3 linked regions of the Caenorhabditis elegans genome follow. The protein of the gene in region 2 purifies or fractionates together with the protein of the main gene of each other region. This does not show direct contact. Each region holds a gene or a part of one and is shown on either strand. Other genes may lie near its edges.

Region 1 (4,682 bases), 4.1 Mb from region 2:
TCATAAGGATGCTGTAAGAATAATGAGATAGATATTATGGGAAGCAGTGTTTCAGAGAAAATTAAAAATCGAAAAATTAAAATTTTCGATTTTCTGGAAAATCTTGAAATCTTTTTTTTACTTTAAATTTTTTGAATCAAACTTTGCCTGTTGATAAGAGAAAAAAAATACTTTTTCACTAAAAGGAAGCAAATTGACCGAAATTTTAATGTAATTTGTGAACAATGGGAAAACGAAAAAATAGCGATTTCTCTGGAAATTTTTTTTGAAGCCGACACCGCAGAAAAATTCGTTTTTTGAGATCAATGTGAAAGCGCGCTCAGCAGCGAAATGAGCAGGATCCGCCTCCAATAGTTGGGTCTCGTTAGGTATTGGAGGCAAAACAGTGAATCTCTGAAGCAGACATTTTTCGAAGACATCCTTGATTGCCGAAAAATAAAACGTTTGAATTTTTAGGCTTTTGCCGCCAATTAACTAACGAGACCCATTGTATTGGGGCTGTGGAGCACGCTCGCACACTGATGGACAGAAAAACATCTGAAAATAATAATTTTTCTGAAAAAAAAGTATTTTAATTGATCAATAACCAATACAGAGATATCATAATCTATATCACAATAAAACAAAAATAATTCATTAAGAGCATCGATAACAAAAGAAGTGTTCAAAACGAAGAAGAAATCAAAAATAGAAAACAAATAAATCTAAAACTACAACTCCTATCTCACACTACCACATGGCTCTTTGGACTCCACTGAGAGCTGATCTATCTGCAAATCGACGGAACAAGTGTCTACTCAATCTGTATGGCTTTATCTTTCCACGTTGTCGTCCTGTGAACTGGCACATATTGAGAATCAGACGAGGATGATCGTATTTTCGAGCTTTTTGCATTTTCTCGGCTGCTTCGTCACGAATCGCTTGCGGGAGAATTGTGTTGAATTTGATAGCTTTTAGACGCATACGATCCGCGCCGACTTCCTGAAATTAAATTTTAATCAAGGGCAAGCAGCAGGCCTGGGCTTGTTTAAGGCTTTTTTGTCAAAAATGGGGGTGTCGGGGGTTTTTTGTTACAAAAATGGGTTTTTTCTGGTTTTTTTGGTTTGTGGGGGTTTTTTTAATAAAAAAGGGAATTTTTTGGTTTTTTCGTCACAAAAAATGGTTTTTTTTTTGGGTTTTCTGTTTTGTGGGGTTTTGTTTTTTTAAAAAGTAATGATTTTCAATAACGATTTTTTGGTGGTTTTCGAATAAAAAAAATATTTAAAAAATTTCAGACATGTGAAAAGAAGCGAAAAACTTTTTTTTGTTTATGGAAAATTTTTTTTGGTGACAGCCCTGGTGTTTTTTGGTATTCTGGCACGAAGAAAAATGCGATTTTTTTTTTGTATTTTAAACAATTTATATTTTGTAAATATTCTTATGGTTTTTGATGTTTTTTAGCTCTGTCGGTAGTGGTGGCCGCTAGCAGTCTGGAGGTCACGAGTTCAAGTCCGGCCTCACCCCCTAGGTTCACCCAGCCTCTATTGGGAAGTGGAGCAATCCACGACTGGATTATCGGCCACAGTCCCCGGCTAGGACGTGGCTTAAATTACAGCCCAGAGGGATCACCACCAGGCAGTGTACCTGAATCCCAGATCCGCAGTGCATAGCACTTGAAGAACGGATCGTCCTTTAATCCTTTAATCCTTTAAAACAAATTTTTTGGCACATATGACAATATTCGTATTTTTTGGTATTTTTTGTTTTGGTTCTTTTACAAATTTCAATTTTTTTCCTTTTTGGTTTGAAATAAAAACCAAAAATATTTTTAGCACATATGACAATATTCGTATAAAAAATAGAAACCAACCTGAATCTGCTCACGTCGTTTGACATCTCTCAACTGACGCCAACTCGCCCAGAATGTCATTCGTTTTCCGGTTTTCCACCATTCTCTCTCCACGTATCTATAGAAACGTATATTCAATACAAGTGTATAGTTTATGTGCAATTCTTTCTCACTTTGAGAATAAAAAAGCGGCAGGCAATAATTTCAAAAATATACAAAAAAAACCAAAAACCTACAATGGATACTGATCAAGTTTCAATTTTGTAAGCGCCTCGCTAGAATATGGTTGAGTGATTCGTTTCTCTTTCATAGGTTCTCCAGCATCTTCTACAGATGTTGCCGGTTCCGTGGATTCCGTAGTCTCTTCAGATGATGGTTTTGCAGGTTCAGGAGCTGGAGTTGATAAATATCTGGAAATTGTTGGACATTTAAATTAAGCCATAAGACGATAATTCCTGTTTTCTCAGCGCGAGAAAAGGATTGAGTTCGAATAACAAATTTTGAAATTTGAAAACCAAAAAAAAAGTTTTCCATTTAGTTTTTTTTTCGAATAAAAAAGCAAAAATTGAACTTTTCGTCAAAAATACGAGTAATTTCGCAGGCCTCAAACGTTTTTTTTTGTTGAGAATTTTCGAATATTTTAATAATAATTGCATTTTACTTCTAATTTCAAGTGTAAGTTTTCGGAAAAAAAAGGGAAATTCTAAAAATTAATTTTTTAAAAACGTTTCCATTTTGTGGCAGGTTCACTTTTTTCAACGAAAAATTTTCGCTTAAACAAATTTTATAAATTGAAAGTTTAAAATATTCTCGAGTGTAAAAAAAGCAAAACATCAAAATTTTTCGCCAAAAGCAGGATTTTCGCATAGTTTAAATAATAATTAGAGAAATCTATACTCACCTTCTACTCATCATCATTTCATTCTTGTAAAGAGCCGTCGATAGTAGGTCCGCTGCTCCGCGGAGTGCCCTCAACATCTGTGCACATACATTGCAATACATATTTAATACAATTATTCATGCATGGAAGGAACTGGTTGGAGGAAGTGTAACCTCTTTCATGATGAAAGAAATATGACATTAAAACGAATATTTTCATTGTTGAAAACAAAAAATTTTTACCGAAACAAAAAATGCGAAAAGACAGAAGAATTATAATACAAAAATAAACATAATCTGTCGGATAGAAAGAACAAAAGAAAGAAAGATTCCTGGGATGAAATGAATACCGGTGGATAATTATATGGAATGGATTTTTAAAAAAGTTATAGGCCGAGTTACACAAAAAAGAGAGAATCAACGTCCGGATTCGGAATACTGTAGTCCAATTTCCTGCTGTGTTTTCATGTATTCCTCGTCGGTCACAAATAAACTATGCTCTTGTCCCATGCTTTGTTCGAGAATGAGGTAGCTGTAAATAGTGTTATTTAGAATGCATTGGCATGTGTGCTGATTATAATTGCATAGCGTTTTAATAAAATTTATTCGCTTTGTATTGTATTGTTGTATATAGACTAGACTAGAAATCGAAAAAAAATAATACGATTTAAATTAATTATACTTCGATAATTTGAACATTGTAATAAAATCAATCTTAGTTGATTATTTTCAAAAATCGGGCACAACAAATTACATTTTTGAACTGAAACTTTGCTCTCAATAATTGAACTTACATCATCTCCATTAGATCTCCATTCTTGCGGACAGTTTTTGCTTCAATATAATCAAAGTGCAAATTGAGAGCCCATGTACATTGACCTCTTGCACGAGTGTAAGCCTGTAAGAAATTTAAATTTCACATACAACCTTTTTTCCTGAAAACTCACATCGTCCTTTAGAATCTTCTGTGACAATTTACTGGCAACTCTTATAACTTGTCTCCAGATAGCCGGATCACGTGTATTAGCTGCTTCTCGTTTCCAATTTTTATAGAGGATTTGATTTCCGGCGTCTCCAATCCGGTTGGCTGCATTCATCCAAGAGAACATAATAGTCAACGAGTTCATGAGAAGACGAGTTTCAAGTTCTGGATCAAATTGCTGATCTCGTTTCGCATTCAAAATACTATTTCTGCTGTCGGTGAATCCTTGAAGCTTCATCACTTGCAGACGACCGCTGGAATGCAGCTCGCCGAGCATCTTCGCATATTTCGAATCACATGGGAACGCTTGCGATGCTTGGAAGATCAACTTTTTGAAGTTTTCATTGTAGATGAAACGGTGTTTTTTGTGCGAAAAGAAGGTTATGAGAGTGTCCGTGATGAATTTCAAATCGATCTGATCACAGTATTTTTCATAAGTTCCACGATTGAAATCATTTTTCTTGGCTTCAAATTGCTCGAATTTGGTGATCGCGTTGGCAATGAGGCAGTCGACTGCACGCCTGCTGAATGCCATCTTGTCCACTGAAATTTAATAAAATAATCAATTAATTTTTACAAAGACTCAAAGACTATAAAACTCACAGAAAACAAATACCGCCACAACTTTCAAAGCTTCGCACAGTGCCTCAGCTCTTGGTAATTCTGGTATACTGTCGACCGATTCAAGATTGTCCTTCTCCTTGCAATGCTCCAGCAATTCGTTCAATCCTTGATCCAATGCCAATAAGAGAGCTTCATCACTTTCAAATTCCGAAGTGTGAATTCCAAGAATCTCTTTACAGAAAACATCTCGAGTCTCTTCTAAAGCATTTTGATTTAGAATAGAAAGTCTTCCACGTAGAACATTGGCATAAAGATGTAATTGAAGCGTTGGCAATGAAGAATCAGCGCTCTGAATGAGCTTTTCTGTTGATTTGGGGATAGCTATATCAATCATATCCCTAATCTTATCACGAATTGTTTGCACTCGTT
Region 2 (2,907 bases):
GCCGATTTGCCATAATTTGCATTTCCGGCAATTTGCCGATTTGCCGAAAATTTTGATTTTCGCCGAACTACCGATTTTCCGGAATTTTTTGTAGGGATTTTCATTATACGGAAACACTTAAAACTGTGCCTTTTTGAATTTTTTAAAATTTAAATTTTGAAAATTCCAAAAAAAATGTGCAAAACCACAATTTGCAGATATGGCGGAAGTATTAATTCGGACAGTTTGCCAATTTGCCGGAATTATCAATTCCGACAATAAGCCGATTTTCCAGGAATTTGAATTCCGGCAATATGCCGATTTGCCGGAAATTTCAATTCCGGCATTTTTGTCAGTTTTATCAAAAAAAACTGAACCTCTGGCGTTGTATCCGCATCAATTGATTCATAAACAGTCTCATAGACCTCTCGGACGGCACCGAAAAATTCGGATTGTAGCACCTGCTGCAGCGATGCCAATTTTGCATTATTGACCTCTCCAGTCTTCTGAACGTGCTCCATGAGCTCTAGAATACGCTGAACGTCCCGCTCCAAATTCGGACCATCCGGGTTATCCATCTGGAAGATTTGGTTGGAAAGGAGGGGAAAAATAGGACGGAAATAGGTAAAAATGGCAAGAAAACCAATTAAAAATTACAAAATTAAGCTATCCAGAGCGGAAAAACATTATTTACTATTCTAATTGACCATAGCCCGTCAGAAAATTATTAAACACAACAAAACCAAAAAAAAAATCGACAAAAAATTAAATTTAAATTTCATGTCGCAGCGTGTGCTTCTGAGACAATTCCAGCGGAATCACATTGAACGTCATTTTGTACAAATCCACGTCTTTCCTATACTCGTATCCCTTCATCTCCTCAATTTCATAGTCCGGATCGCATTTTTCCTGGGAGATACGAACGATTCCGTCGCAATGGGCACGCAGAAGACGTTCTCCGCGATCGTTTTCATAGTAAACCTGAATAACTTCTCAATAATCAAAGATATTTGATAATAAATCTTACATTTAACCCTGGATGATAATTCATTTTGAATTGATTCACCAGCAAATCGTCTTTTCGCACAACTTCTCCGTCTTTCCGGAAAATTCCACGGAACGGGAGATTCTTTGGTGGTCGTAGAAGTCCGCGAATTTGTTGAAAACTACCGGTGAATCCCTTGAGGCCCATCTGAATATTTAAATTTGAATTTAGATAATTTTAATTGTTAAATTATAATTTTGAGTTGCATTGCATCACTAGAAAGATATTTTATTGAAAATTAACGTTTTTCAGCATTATTTAATGCTTTTTAACGATTTAAACAATTTTCTCATTTAATTTATTGATAAAATATTGAGAAATGTTTAATTTTAAGCATAAAATGAATAAATCCTGCTCCGGAAAGTCCGATAAATGCTTAATTGTTTTGGAGACTACGGTCAACATTTTTTGTACGCAGTACGCAACGTGTACTGCAGACCGTAGTCGAGAAAACCTGCGCATCTAACTGTCTTCCTCGCGCCAATTTTGTTTCGAAATTTCTTTTTTGGCTGTTTTTCGTGTTACTTTTTGCCGGATTTTTGCCGTTTTTATATGATAGAAATATTATGTTTTGTGTCAAAATAGGTAAATTTTCCATATAAAACCTGATGATTCAAAAAATTTTGTGAATTTGAAGTCCAAAAATGTGGAATTTCAAGCCGACACTCACGAAAAATTTTCACATTGTGCATACGTTATAGTTTTTAGAATACAGAAAAAAACAATATAGTATTTCTGAGTGTCGCATTTTTGAGTGGTTTGTATATTAGTATATTTTCTTGCAATTTAAATGTAATTTTCGAACTTTTTTTTCGAGATTGGAACATATTTTTACCTTCTGCAAAAATATTCTGTTCTTTTTACGTTTCCCGAACTTAATAATTGTTTTTCAGAACCAATCCAAACAATCCGCAGCAATGGGAAAGCGAAAGTCGAAGAGAAAGGCTCCAACCAAGGCAAAGGCTGTAATGCCACTCGACACCCAATTCAACTGTCCGTTTTGCAATCATGAACGCGTTTGTGAAGTGAAAATGTACTTTCTAAGGAAAATCGTTTCAAAAAAAAACGTAATAATTTTCCAGGGATCGCGAAAAGAATGTCGGTTATATCTCGTGTCGTGTCTGCTCTGAAGACTTCCAAACAAACATCAACTACCTCTCCGAGCCAATCGACGTCTATTCTGATTGGGTGGATGCCTGTGAGCAGGCAAATAACGCCTGAATATTCCCCATCCGTCAATCTTAAATTCTTATACGACCTCCTTATAAGCCTCCAAAATCCCCATCGCGTTGATCTCTTTGCTTTTCTCAGTAATTCTATTTCCTTCTATCCCCAATTCATCCACACACTTTCTGGATCATCATTGCAGCACGCCTCGAAAACCGGTCCTTCAATTCTCACGAGAATGGTATCCTCGAGCTCGTTTTTGTGTGTAAATAACCAAATCAGCACATCACCATTTTTTGTACAATACTTTATTTTTCATCATTTTGTTTCAAATTTCTTTGGCTCAAAGCTATATAAAAAGTTGAACTTAAAAATCAAAAATGGTAAGTTAGCTAGAAATGCAACAAGGAAATACATGCAATATTCTGAATTCTAAAAAAAAGGAAAATATCATCCCTCGATAGTATTAAGTTTTACACATGCTTCAATCAGGCAACCGACGGACCACGCCTGGGCAGCACAACTCTGCATACAGTATTCTCCATCAGCATTTGTCAGTTCCGGTAGTGACCTCCATGGTGATGAAATGATGTGCTTGTAAGCATTGCCGAGTCGCTCCTGGACTTGCCGGATCGCATACTGCTTTTCGGATCCTCCGAGGATATCACCGATTCTCAGCCGAGCTTGGAGATAATACCCGGCGACGAAGAGCCATT
Region 3 (3,289 bases), on a different chromosome or scaffold from region 2:
GAAAGTTCTGAGGAGACGGATTGTGCTGTCGGGTCGGTGATGGACAACCTTTCCAATGCAAAGGGAGACTTCCGGCTGATTTATCCATTGCTTCAGGAAATGATTGGTGTAAAGCTGTATGTTTTGGAGCAGCTGGATATTCTCGGAGTTCAACAGTGAGTTATCATATTTTTAGGCAAGCCAGGCATGTAGGCAGGCACATGAGCAAACATACCGTGATTCTTTTTATTTTTCCAGCAACGTTGTCGAATTGGAAGTACAATCGACCACAAAAGTCAACAGAGTGATCACTTCGCTTCTTCGCGAATACTTCCAAACGTTGCCACCTGATCAATCGGGAGTACTGTACCACGTGGAATTGGAGCCTGGATGGTCACGTAGAGTTCGAAGAGTTAGGACTAAACAGTACAACTCTCTGGAATTGTACAACTTTTCCAAGGTGTAAGTGAAACTGAATTCGTTTAGTAGATCAAATTTAAATTAATTTCAGCGATGAGTACATTGTGTTTGTGATGGATTTCGGTGCATTTCTCAAAAACGGAGTGAAGATCAATTTTGTGTAGAAGACATGAGAGAATAATGCTTTTTATGAATTGAATAAAGGGTTTCCGTGGGATGGTTTTTTTGTATGAATTTTTTTGCAAGTCATTCAATATAAGGTAATCTGAACATAACCTTCCAAATTAAATACGTCTCATTTCAAAGTCCGAAACTAGTTTAACTTAATTTCCTTAAGCTCTAGGAACACGATTTTTCGCAACTTTTTAACTTTTACAAAAAAACAAATCTTACCGATTATTTGTTTGCTTGCAATTGCATAGCCACACCGTCATGTCCTTATCAGGAATAAATCGTACTGGTTTCAATTTAAGATCGGGAATTCGAATTGAATTGTGGGATCCATCGCAGAGTGGTTGCGATCCACTATATCCACAACTGCACCATGCGTAAACTTTATCCTTTTTCATGTGAACCTATAAAAAAATTAGCTCAGAAGGTAGCATACGAGTAATATATTTGAATACCTTAGTTGGTAGCTTACTATGCACTTTTCCAGTTCCGGGAAGCTCGTGGTTGGTTCCTTGCAGACCGTATTCCTCATTTGGTTTTTTGTCTTGAAGCTAAATATTAATCAATAAATATTTAAAACCTCCGAAATGACTCACAATATGATATTTCAGAACTGGTGGTTCGGTTCCTACAAAATGTGTTCCCTTTCTTTGAAGCCTGTTTGGACCAAATCCGGTTTTCTGACTCTTTTTGATGACTGACAAACAGATTTGAGCCGATTGAGTTATCCGCATTCTGTAAAACTGATAACATTCACACATAACTGAGTTAATGAGTACGAGTGATCATTATAGAAGTGAAATACAATTTAAAAGCAATGTTTGATGAATTTTTAAAAATAACATTTTCTTTAAAACTGTTTTGCACCGAAAATTGTGGCATTTTTGTCATTAATTACATGAAAAAACTGTCTAAAGTTTTATTTAGTTTGGGAAAATGAAATTAAAACATCTAAACACATGCTTAAAATAATTTTAAAGTTGAAAATCTGAATAAATAAAAGGAAGAATATTTCAAGGGGCGGGGCTAAAACGGCTGCACTGCGCCTCATTGCAAGCACGCCGCGCATTTTTTCTATTCTTTTTCTTCTCTTCGAGCATTTAATTTGTTTCTCTAATTTTTTCCTTTTCTTCAAGATTCACAGTCAATTTTAAAAGTTTCAGATAAAAATGTCTTCAAACTTAATCAGATTTGTTGGAAATCATGATATTGCATCGGAAGGAAAGTTTTTGTTCGAGATTCTCTCACAACTCCGCAACGTATGTTATTCTGCTGTTTTCCCCCTTGATTCAATTGTTTTTTTTTCAGTTTGGTGTCGGTCGTCTTGTTACAAAGAATGAATGGACACGGAAATGGCCGAATAATCCGTCATATATGAAGATTTTGAGGGCATTCTTGATTTTTAGCATGAACAAAGATCACTGAAACTTTTCAGGCAGAGCCAGGCATGGACCGATGGTTATTCGAAGGAAAAGTTTATGCTGAATGGGTCTTTCGTGGAAAAAATCTTGGCGTTTATGAGTTTTCAAAGGATTTGAACAGAAGTGACTGGCAGCTGGTACACAAGTAAGCAATTCTTAATTGAGGATTCGAAATTTTCGTTTATTTTCAGACATCAAGAAAAATCATATACATCGAGCACAACACCAATGCAAGATCTTGTTCTTCCCGATTCGTTTCCATTGCCACCACTTCAAGTTCATTTGTCACAGAAAAGTGCTCGCAAAAATGGTTTGGATGAGAAAACTGTGTCAAGACGGGCTCCGCTCACACTTAGTGTCGATCCAGAGTTCCAGCACTTGAAGCCGTTCATCAAACAGGTGGGATTAACTATGTATATGCTGAAATAAAAAACTCCGAAACTCACAAAATTTTATTTTTCAATTTTCAACCATTTCAGGAAGCTCCTTCAACAAAAAGCGTGTCGATCTACGAGGAAGTTGATAAGAATGCACTTTTGGATCTTTACGGAAACGAATTGCCAGTTAAAGTTGAAGCTTGGAATGCAGGACCAGCAATGTTCCAACCACGATTTAATGCCACAACGATGAGAGTTGAAGAGCAACCACCGAAATGATTCTCTTTCAATTTAATTTTTTTTAAATTTAAGTTTTCGATTGTAGCAGTTGTTTTTAGACTTTGTTTTCTTTTTGTTCTGTTTCGTTAGAGTTTTAAAATTAAACTATCATGAACCAAGTCACATTGTTCCAAGACTACAGTGAAGTGAAATTTGTGATAGTTAAAAAAAATGTTAATGATTAATTCAAAAATACAAAAATGTATAAAATATAGATCACAACTTAAAGAGAACGCATTCGTTATAACAGTATGAGTTGAACAAGTTGAATCATTAACAGAAACGAACCAAACATCAGTGGCGAATTTGCGTAAATAAACTCAGGTTTGAATACAGTACTTACTGTGACTAAATAAGTTGCAACAGCGGAGGGAAAATATTACTGACGTTGTGAAAAAGAGAGTTGTGAAAAATGAATACTCATAGTCAGTCCAGAAATCTAATGGTACAACTATGTTTTTTGGTGGCTTTAACTTTAAAAATTGAAATTGCGCGTGGAATTCGGTGCATTTGGAAAATTTGTGCACCCACCGTAACACAATGCATCAGATTTCCTGCGCAACTTTATTCAAGATTATTTGATTATTACACTCCACTAAATATTTAAGATGATATTTCACAATAATTTTTACGTTTTGGATG

The links.
Region 1: the proteins of Y54G11A.17 (region 2) and mrps-14 fractionate together in Caenorhabditis elegans (co-fractionation; one large-scale study listed by BioGRID). This does not show direct contact.
Region 3: the proteins of Y54G11A.17 (region 2) and mrps-34 fractionate together in Caenorhabditis elegans (co-fractionation; one large-scale study listed by BioGRID). This does not show direct contact.

The regions. Positions count from the first base shown.
Region 1 is NC_003280.10:10,239,685-10,244,366, forward strand, and holds mrps-14 (Small ribosomal subunit protein uS14m), read right to left. Parts: upstream 2,807-4,682; coding exon 2,730-2,806; intron 2,239-2,729; coding exon 2,065-2,238; intron 1,947-2,064; coding exon 1,850-1,946; intron 982-1,849; coding exon 730-981; 3' UTR 621-729; downstream 1-620. Other genes in the region: F-box/WD repeat-containing protein mec-15, read right to left, coding at 1-4; nrde-2 (Nuclear exosome regulator NRDE2), read right to left, coding at 3,125-3,239, 3,502-3,605, 3,655-4,232, 4,293-4,682.
Region 2 is NC_003280.10:14,348,236-14,351,142, forward strand, and holds Y54G11A.17 (L51_S25_CI-B8 domain-containing protein), read right to left. Parts: upstream 1,172-2,907; coding exon 1,007-1,171; intron 961-1,006; coding exon 751-960; 3' UTR 651-750; downstream 1-650. Other genes in the region: Protein lin-7 homolog, read right to left, coding at 357-557; elof-1 (Transcription elongation factor 1 homolog), read left to right, coding at 1,942-2,057, 2,107-2,245; agl-1 (Glycogen debranching enzyme), read right to left, coding at 2,642-2,907.
Region 3 is NC_003281.10:4,540,897-4,544,185, reverse strand, and holds mrps-34 (Mitochondrial Ribosomal Protein, Small), read left to right. Parts: upstream 1-1,733; 5' UTR 1,734-1,739; coding exon 1,740-1,829; intron 1,830-1,878; coding exon 1,879-1,959; intron 1,960-2,005; coding exon 2,006-2,136; intron 2,137-2,182; coding exon 2,183-2,390; intron 2,391-2,470; coding exon 2,471-2,647; 3' UTR 2,648-2,766; downstream 2,767-3,289. Other genes in the region: M88.3 (RING-type domain-containing protein), read left to right, coding at 1-155, 238-441, 491-563; cisd-3.1 (Iron-binding zinc finger CDGSH type domain-containing protein), read right to left, coding at 793-974, 1,026-1,121, 1,167-1,304.